Regions from separate parts of the Mus musculus genome. Here region 1 is reported to be linked to region 2. The links are microRNA targets in miRTarBase. Many come from high-throughput screens and were not tested one by one. Region 2 holds a microRNA gene; the other region holds the end of a gene's coding sequence.

Region 1 (5,073 bases), not on the chromosome of region 2:
TTCATAAAACTGTCTAGAGGTAACCAGAATTCTTTGAATATAAACTCATTAAATGAGAGTCTTGTGCAGTTTATAAATGTTTATAGATCATTCATTCAACAGATATGTGGGTTATCATTTGCATGCTAAGAATAGTCATTAAAAATTAATACTCACACAGTCTCTGCTCTTAGTAGATTATAGTCTAGGCAGAAAGATTATAATAGTCAACTGAAACGCTGTTAAGTAAAATGAACATGGTAACATGGTGCCAAGGGTCTGAATCATGTAGGCTGCTTAAGGTTAGACTGCTGGTAAAGGACGCTGAGAAAATCAACTTTACATCATGGGAAAGGAAATGGACAATGTGCAGGCTCTTGAAAAGCATCCTGGAGATGGTGAGGTGGGAAGATCCATGGTAACTAAACTTGAGTACAAGTAGATCCTGGAGGACACGTGGTTGGCACAGTCTCAGGGAATGGGACAGATGATAGATTCTTAGTCTTCATTGCAAAAGCAATGGAAAATTGTAGTTGAGGTTTGTCTTTAAAACAAAGAAGGGAGCAACAGAGAACTGGGAGTTGAGAGTAGAAGAGACAAGATGGGCGTGAGGCAGTAGCAGAAGTAGGTATGTCTTCAAGTCATGATTAAAGACTTAATATGTGTGTATGTGAGGGAGGGAGCCAGGGCAGGATGCTGTTTAGTCCTCAGCTCAGGTCCCTAGACAGACAGAGACAAAGACAGGAGGGAACTGTGCTAGGATGCATAGAAGAAAGTTGCTATACAGGGAACTGGATAGTCTATTTGTGATACTGATTTAGAAAACACAGATGGTCAGTGGTATTCAGAACACAAAAAAAAAAAAAAAGAAAAAAAAAACAAGTAACATGTATACTTTAATATTTAGAGTGTAGGTAAGAGAAAAAAAGAGGATTTTTTTTTTCAAGACAGGGTTTCTCTGTGTTGCCCTGGCTGTCCTGGAACTCACTCTGTAGGCCAGGCTGGCCTCGAACTCAGAAATCCACCTGCCTCTGCCTCCCAAGTGCTGGGATTAAAGGCGTGCGCCACCACGCCCCGCAAAAAAGAGGGTTTTTGTTGTTGTTGTTGTTTTGTAACATCAACAGTAAAGAGTAATGTAGTAAAGGTTGGGGTATAGCTCAATGTATGGTGTCTTAAGATTTTTTTTTTTAATGAATGTAAACAAAGGCATTATAAAAGACAAAGAAACTAGGCTGGGAGCATACAATTGTAATCTCAACCTTTAAGATGCCAAGGTAGAAAGACTGTTAGTTGAAAGCCAGTCTTAGCTACCCTATCAACAAACAAAGTCAAGCAAAGGTGGCATTTCAGCATGTATACAGAGAAACTAAGGGTAAAATGTGAAGATGCCAAAGAAAGACAACAAGGTACTTCCTCAAATCTACCTGAGACACTGGACACCCAAGCATTTGCCCATTGTTCAAACCTTCTATCTCAGCATCCTGTTTGGGAACTTCTCAGTGTTCCAGTCTTATTTAGTCTACTTTTTCTGCTCAATCATTGCCCTTCAAAATGAGCTGCTTGCTCTTTGAACGAGGATGGGAACAAGAGGAATATCAAACCACATGAACAGTGAAAGAATGCACAAATAGCAAATATACCTGAAACAGCATGTGAGCTTTCCAAATTAGCTGTTCCCACACTAAACTTGTTCAAGAGACAAACAAAAAACATATTACGAGTACACTAACATAAAAGTTTTATTGAATAAATACATGTGCTGTTATATAAAATTAAGCAAAAAGGACATTCTATGATTAAAACAAACAAACAAACAACAAAAAACAAGAACCACCCTCTATTACCCTACAGTGGGTAATCCAGATGGGACCATTCACTGCAGCAGGCTGCACTCTCTGTATCTGCCTGAGGTTTTTTAAACTAATCCTAAACACCTCTGCATAGGGACTGCCTGTACAAGAAATATAGAGTGCAAAATACAAATGGTAGTACATATGGTTGCAAGGCTGCTTCTGTTTTCACCTGAAACTTGAAAACACCTTTGTACTTTAAGGCACAGGATAAGCCACCACATGAATAAGTTAGGAGAGCTGTACTTCAAATCACTAATTTCCCTCATTGGTTTGGCTCAAAGTAGAAAATGTAACATTCTTTTTTCCTAGGTAAGTCATTAAAAACTAAAAGTTAACATTTTGAGAACTAAAAGTATCTATCTATTTTATATCTTTAGGACACTGGAGTGTGCCTTGATGGCAAGTCAGCCCTCCTCATGCAGCACTCAGAACTACAACTAAGTGGACTAGTATTACTAGACCTTCTGTCTCCTTTCCACTTAGACTGGAGATGCTACTTGAAGACTCAGATGATGCACGTGGGGGCACTGTATCTGAACTCATTGGCACCAGCTTTTGTGACTGTAGTAGGGATCATACTGATTTATTAGGGGATTGTACCCTTAACTCTACTCAATTTGCCTAATTAGTTATGAAAAGCATTCCATTAAATAAAATACACACTTAACTAAGTCTATGGATGCAAAACTAAGATAGATAGGTTGTTGGTGAAAAAACGATTGCCATGATACAATTTCAGGAAAAAAATCTCTTTTATAGACAGAAGCTCTTAAATGGACTTAATTAAAAACACACTTAAGGAAAAAAAAAGCTAATACCATGGTCAAGCAACTAGTTTTAATATAACCTGCCTTTCTCCTGCAACTAAAATGCCACCCTTGAATATTTTATGTGCATATATGTTCATGTGTGTACCTACACAAACTTTCTCACAATCCTACTCACTAATGAAAAAAGATTTATAAACAGGATTCAGAGGAAGGTGTCAGATGGCAGGAGAGAGATTACTCTGACGGTATGACTACCTGGGGTGTGCTGTGAAGAGCCACAGACTGTGTTACAACTGTACGTGTTACATTACAAACTGAGGCACACTTTCATCTTTTAGACAGGAGGAGAGTGCAAAAGGAGCACTCGATATTCATCACAGGCACTTTGGTATGTTTGGTCACATAAGCTTCCCATAGGTTTAATTCCAAGAAGCATGTGAATGGAACTACTCCAATTTTGATTACAAAGCTGTATTTTCCTGCTATAAGTGTACATAGTTTTAAATGATCTCATAGCTGAGAAGCCCTTTTCATCCTAGAGGTTAAAATGCATACTGAAAAAAAAATCTTCCTACATTTGTGCATCTTTTGCTTACAGACAAGCATAGCTTATAATACTGTGACATAGCCTCACCTCACAAGAGGTTTGAGATCTCTTACATACAAAACATGCTTTTCCCAATCTAAAAATAAAAGGATTCCAAAATAAAAATTGTATTAACATCTGGCATGGCACAAAATGAGGATATCCAGGAAATCTCAAGCCTTACAGCAGCTTGCTGGCACTGCGCAGGATCTTTTGTCACGTATGAGGGGAAGCTCGGGAAGGTGTCTGTCCTGTGTGTGGACTTATGGCCAGGTTCTCCCATCAAGAGCAAGTGCAGTGCTCTAACTAACGTCTTTAGCTCAGCACCCTTTGTTACTATGCATCCATCCCATTTCACCTCTTTACAGTAACAACAGACCTGTCTTCCTAGGGTAAGAAACAAGGACAAAACAAATTAAGCTTGCATCACTCTTGATAACACCTTATATCCTAATATGCTTTGGGCAAAATATAATGTATGTTTCTTTTTCCCAAGACAGAGTTTTGAGGTGTAGCCCAGGCTGGCCTTTAACACTTGGGTCTTCTTGGTGTGGCCTCCCATACCCTGGGATTACAGATGTGAGGTACAACGCCTAGCATGTGTGCATCTCTCTACTACTCATGAGTCTGTTATAACAAACAATTACACAAATAAACAGCACATTCCTTTCTTATGTAATACATTTCAGATGAGTATACTGTGATTCTCCAGAGCCTTGACAATGCTCTCGGTATTGTCCAGTACTCAGTTATACAACTTTTAAAATTAGCCATTCACTGACTTCTCACTGTATTTTCCTATTTATAATAATGTTAGTAATTTGAAATTTGTTTTATCGTTCATAATAGACATAAAAATTCTAATATTTAATAATCTTTCCATTTTTTCCTTTAAAAAGCCATATCACACAACAGATCTATGAGAACATTTTGCTGAAAAGATGAAAATGATTAATTTGTCACAGAATGTAATAAGTCTTAGAAGAAAATACATATTTCCTTAATTCATTTTCTTCTTTATCCAAACCAGCATGTAGATATTATAAAAAAGAATCTATTTACATGGTGTAGTGCACCTCCAGGATGCAGGACAAGGCAGAAACAAGTCCAGGTATCTGCTTTCCAGCAGGTGCAGCTGACAGAGCTCCACACAGCACAGGAAACACATCACTACACCACTGGTGAAGCACTGGAGGAAGCTCAACAGGGAGATTCAACAATAATATTGGCCAAATTTTCCTACAATGCCAAGTTTTATAAAATTATTAAGGTATGTATAACTCAATACTTAAAATTATAAAAATAGCATTGGTACATCTGCGAGAAGGTGTGTTCCATGTTGAGGTGCCACGTGATACACTGAAAAATAGACCTACGTCCAGCGTAGCTACGTTATCACCTGTGGCCTTGTCCCATCTTCTGTGAGGTCATACCTGAGAAAGCACAAGAAAGTACAACAGACTTGGGTCAGGCTTTGGGATGGTAGACGCAGCAGCTAGGTTTCTCTGGGAACTGCCTGCAACTTGGGACAGGGGCACTCACCACTGGGTCCAGCCCTTGGCGAGTTCTTCAGATGCCAGAACAACCAGCACCTGTGGATTAAAAGAAGGTTCTGTGAAAATTCCTGGGTAATTCCTTTTAGATCATTCATCACTCCTTCCTACCTCTCTAATTTCTTAACAATATGAAAATCTCATGTTTTGAGGTTCTCATTTTTAAAAATCATTTTAACCTTTACATAGCTGAGTACATCCAAGAGATTCTTCTTGTATCTAATAGTATTACAATTATTATGAAACACATAAAAGAGATACTATGAGATACTAACAAATATGTCACTAATGGCAGTGTGTGGTTTAGATATGAAGTGACTATAAAAGGCTCA
Region 2 (5,073 bases):
GTGGGTCGATGCTACCTGTGGGTAGAACGACCGTCGGGGCAGGGCTCCTGGGGCAGGGAGACCCTCCCGAGGGCCAGGACTGAGAAAGGTGATGGGAAACCATCGGGATGAGGACTGCAGGGCGTACCCACTCTCTCCCTACAGCCGCAGTGCAGACTCCAGATCCCCAGACTACCCACCCCCCTCCCGGTCTACCCCAGGGAATGAATGCCCACAGAGACAGGGGGCGGGTCCAGCACCAGTACGCGTAACAATGCTCACTTCTCTAGGCATGCGCATTGGTGTGCTCCCCACCCCACCCCGCCCCCACTGCTCCACCCCTCACTGTGACCGCCAAAGGCACCCAGGTACCTTCTGGATTTTGAGCTCCTGGATTTTGACCTCCTTCTGAGCCGTGGTCCTTTCCGTTTCAAAGCACCCAGCCCTCTCCCAGTTTGCAGTTCCCTCCATACTCTGCCCTACCAGACCGCCCTGGTAATTGAATCTACTTTCCAGTTCACTAAGATAATATCCAAAAGGACTTCCTTCTGCCCCCCAAAGGGCTTTAGCTCTGGCTTTTGCACCCTCTGAGTTTCCTACCTACTCGGAAGCATTACACACATCCCTCTCCAGATCATGTCCTGACCACTTCTTTTGCTTGTTTTTTGAGACAAGGTCTCCTATGTAATTCTAGCTATATTGGAATCCACTGTAGACCAGGCTGGAACTCTGCCTCCCAAACAATGGGATTAGAGACTGCATGCCTGCACCCATGACCACTTACTTGCTCTATGTCTTGATGTCCTCCTGTGGCCTCTCCTCACACCTACCTCCGCTACCTTCCTCTCCCTCCCCTCCCCTCTGGAGTGCTAGGGATTAAACCCAGGACCTTGTGCATAATAGGCAAGTGTTCTACACCCTGAGCCAATTCAAATTCACAGAAGTGACTTAGCCAACCTAAATCCTTTGCGGCCCAGACCTCCCCTGATATGTACATGTAAGATATGTAAGATATGCACATGTAAGATATGTAAGATATGCACATGTTAGGATTCCTAGCACCTCAGGATGGATCTGCTGTGGCAACAGCTGCTGACACACGTCTACCCTAGCCACAAAGGAGTGTGGTTGCTTCTTCCCCATCAAAGCCCTCCGTCAGGCCTGAGACTCATTATGTATCAGAGCAGTCCCCATGGGTGCCAGGACTTGTGGAGCTAGAGTACTATTAAGGCTGATTTTCTCAATCTATTCCCAAAAGGGAATCTGGAAGCCTGGGCCTCCTCTCAAGGAGGCAGGCCTGACCACCTCCTACTAGGTTTTTGTTTGTTTGTAAAAGAGGGGTGGGTGCATTGAAACAGGGCTTTACCATGTAAATATAGCTCTTCTGGAACGTGCAGGGTAGACCAGGTTGTCCTTGAACTCACAGAGATCTACCTACCCATGCCTTCCCTGTGCTGCATTCAAAGGCATGGGCCATTGGGTCTTGCCGCTAAAGGTAACTCTGCAAGCACACTAAGGATCGGGCATCCTTAAAAATTCAGCTCCAGGGCTGGAGAGATGGCTCAGTGGTTAAGAGCACTGTTCTTCCAGGGGTCCTGAGTTCAAATCCCAGCAACCACATGGTGGCTCACAACCATCTGTAATGGGATCCGATGGCCTCTTCTGGTGTGTCTGAAGACAGCTACAGTGCACTCATATAAATTAAATAAATAAATAAATAAATAAATAAATAAAAATGAGCTCCAGCCCTGTCTGGAAAGCAGACATACCAGACACCTCCATGCCTCTCCTACTCAGCACATACCCTCTTTGTAAAGGAGCAAGCAGACATGGCTGGCAGGCCTACTCTGCAGGCTTCTTGTTCCAAGTCCATCCATCTGGCCCAGGCAGGACACTTCTTCTGAGCCTCAAGGTGTGAACCCAAGGTGTGGTTATCTCAGGAAAGGCTGAGTCCAGTTCTTCCCGAGGCAGTCAAGGCTAAGCAAGGTATACAAACCTTTTCCATACAAAGAGGTGAACATCTGTTTCTCTCCACAAGGTCCTGGAGTTCCTAGTTTTGTTTTGATTCTTCAGACAGCTTCAAAACTGAGACAATCTTCCTGCATCAGCCTCCAGACATGGGCTCACCAATCTTTCTTTCTTTTTTAATTGATTAATTAATTAATTAGTTAATTTGGTTTTTCTCAAAACACGGTTTCTCTGTGTATCCCTGGCTGTCCTAAAACTCACTATGTAGACCAGGATGCCCTAGATCTGGGTGATCCACCTGCCTTTGCCTTCCAAGTGCTGAGATTTAAGGCATGAGCTACCTACCATTCACTCACCGCCGCGCCCCCTGCAGCAGACTCCCCTATCTTAACCTGGGGGGAGGGGGCTAAGAGCTTGAGACTGGAGCCTTTCCAAATCTGGGGTCTCCCCTTTGTACTGGTTCCAGCCTTGGAATATGGTTCTCAGCATCCACCTTATCCTTTTAGCTAGAGATAGCTATCTCTATCTAAGACTATGATCCAAGCACTGACCCTTTTGTTCCTCAGGCTCCTTAGCTGGCCCGACAGATGCCCTTTCATCATTGCACTGCTTCCCAGAGGCCCACAGTAGTGCAACAGGGAAAGAGTGTCCAACAAGCCTGTCAGTCTCACGGGGTGGGGCGGGGCATGGGGAGTTGGGGTGGCTGGAGTGGGATCTTAGACCTAGAACGCATGCCCACCTGGGCGGAGCCTCGGCCTGAGCAAAGGATGCCCTCTGACCCCAGAGACACGGGCCTGGCTACAATCTCAAGTTTCCATGGAGAAGAGAGTAAAATGAGCAGGGGGAGGGTACGGCCTGCAGGCCTGAGGGGCCAGGCCTGGAAAGGGAAGAAAGAAGGAACAGTAGGTGAGGTGGTCTTCGAGGCTGGTCCCAGATGCTTTGACAATACCATTGCACTGCTTCTCACAGCACAGTAGTGCAACCTAGTCAGAGCACCCGCAGCCAGCAGGAAATCCATCGCCCTCGCTGCACGCAGGGCTGCGCTGGAAATTCAACCACCATGGGTGGGTGGGACATCTATCCAAGCTCGGAGAACAGACGGGATTCCAGCCCGGATGCAGTCCTCTGGACTTATTAACTTCAGGGAACTCAAACTTTCTCTAACAGGCTTCTGATTCTGGTGAGGTACTCCAAGGAGGGAGCTGAAGGGCGAGCACCCGAGGGGGCTCAAACACAAAGGAGAGAGGCCTGCGCTCAGTTGCAGAGGGGAGCACAGTGGGACTACTTGTACCCTGTTTCAGACCAGAACTAGAATAAGAGGGATACTTCACTCCTTGCACGTGAGGCCCTTGGAGTCCGAGATCCGGTCCTTGGTCCATTCCCCCAGTATGAGTTCTGCACTCTATCCTAACAGATTCTCCTGCCTAGAAGAGCAGAACTAGGGCTTCCTGGCATCTGGAGTTTCCCTGGCCTCACCGCACACCCTATCCCAGACCAGTTACTCACGTGGACAGACACCTCTTGTTCTCACCAGGGGGACAAGGTGAAGCTTAGTGGAAGATCCAGGTAGGCGGCGGCCCCGTCATATCTGGACAACCCCGCACCTCAGCACCTCGTGGCGCCCTCTCTCCCTCGGCTCCATCTTTAACCATCTGACAGTCCCGAGGGCCGAGCCCCGGGCCTCAAGGCACAGCGCCAGCCTCATTGGCTTGCGCCTACACCAAGCTTTGCCTCCTGCGCACCTATTGGCTGCTGCTGGAAAGATTTCAAAATAGCCTCCAGGCTCCGATTGGCCAGGCGCCCGAGTTTTGGCTCCACCGTTTTAACAATGAGTTCTACAAACACTTTCTCCTCATTCATAACTCTTGAAAAGGAGCTCTGTCCGCCTTTTCCCAGCTCATTTCTCTGTAGTTATTATAGTGATACTCATGAGGGCGCGTCCATGCTTACTACACAGCTCACCAAATTAGCGAGGGCTCTGAGATCCCGGCAAAGTGTCCTTTGGCCAAGCCAGCGGTTGAATGAACCCCTAGGGGATGCTTCGTATTTCGCGAGAAATTTGTTCATTGCTCCTCCAGGATGGGACATTTACTTAAAAACCGTGGCCTTCCCTCTTTCTGTCCAACTTCAGAGCATCGTCATCAGGAAACCTCTGGCTGGGCTGAGGAGGCCCTGGCACTTTTTGTAAGTGAAGAAATGCTCTGATGTCATTGATGTCATTGAGAATGTGAACCACTTTATGGGTAAGAGTTCATTAAGTGACCTTTCTGAGCTAATATGTCCAAAGATACACAGCACCTAGCACCCAGAACCTGAGGTGTTCTACTCAGTTCTGTCAGCGAAGGGAAAAACAGAGTTTTGCAGCTGGCGTCTGAGCTTTACCCCTAGTTATATCCATATGAGACAGGGAATCTTTACCCCCCAGCTCAAAGGCTGAAAGAAAATATTTTTAAAGCAGACAGAGCTGGTTTTCGATCTTCAAGAACTCATTTTGTCCACTTAATTTTAAATGTAATTTTTTGTGTATGGGTGCTTTGTTTGCCTGTCTGTACCACCATGTACATGCCTAGTGTTCAGGGAGGTCAAAAGGCTTTCTATCCTCTGCAACTGAAACTATAGAGGATTGTAAGCAAACACATGCATGCTGGAAATGAAACCCATATGCTCTGGTAGAGCAACCAATGCTATTAACACTGACCCATAATATCTCAGTCCCTACATTGTTTTGTCTTCTTTGGGAAAAAAAAGAATGCTGGTTTTTTGAGACATCGTATATCACGGCTGGCTAGTTGAGAACTCACAGAGTAGACCAGGCTAGCCTTGTGCTTATGGTAATCCTCCTAGGTTTTTGCAGTACTGGGGATACAGCCACCACACTGCATCGCTCCACACAGATACAAAATAAAACATCCAGAAATTCCAACATTTGGGAAGTGGAGAAAAGAGCCAGAAGTTCAAGACCAGCCTGAACTACATGAAATACTGTCTTTAAAGAGAGGGGGCTCACCAGAAAGAAGGCTCAGTGGTTAAGAGGGTTGGCTGCTCTTCCAGAGGACTCAGGTTCCATGCCCAGGATCCACAAGTTGTCTCAAAGGCATCTGTAACTCCAGTCCAGTATCGTCTTCT

Evidence for each region. Region 2 holds the annotated microRNA mmu-miR-301b-3p (CAGUGCAAUGGUAUUGUCAAAGC, at 2,884-2,906, opposite strand). A microRNA usually pairs through its seed, bases 2 to 8, with sites in the 3' UTR of a target mRNA and lowers its output. Matches are read on the target gene's strand: a 7mer-m8 pairs with bases 2 to 8, a 7mer-A1 pairs with bases 2 to 7 and ends in A, and an 8mer does both.
Region 1: miRTarBase lists Esyt2 as a target of mmu-miR-301b-3p. Seed matches in the 3' UTR shown: 7mer-A1 at 4,257-4,263, 7mer-m8 at 2,951-2,957 and 7mer-m8 at 1,948-1,954.

The regions. Positions count from the first base shown.
Region 1 is chr12:116,369,719-116,374,791 of GRCm38, reverse strand. It overlaps Esyt2 (extended synaptotagmin-like protein 2), which reads right to left. Exons shown (of 22, transcript NM_028731.5): 21 at 4,731-4,780; 22 at 1,694-4,621. The coding sequence ends at 4,576. Among named protein-coding and RNA genes, the nearest start is that of D430020J02Rik, 33 kb to the left of the region's middle.
Region 2 is chr16:17,121,537-17,126,609 of GRCm38, forward strand. It overlaps Mir301b (microRNA 301b), which reads right to left and starts at 2,960; the gene lies at 2,864-2,960. 2610318N02Rik (RIKEN cDNA 2610318N02 gene) reads right to left here and starts at 3,666. Exons shown (of 7, transcript NM_001358255.1): 1 at 3,454-3,666; 2 at 1-15. It overlaps Mir130b (microRNA 130b), which reads right to left and starts at 2,606; the gene lies at 2,525-2,606.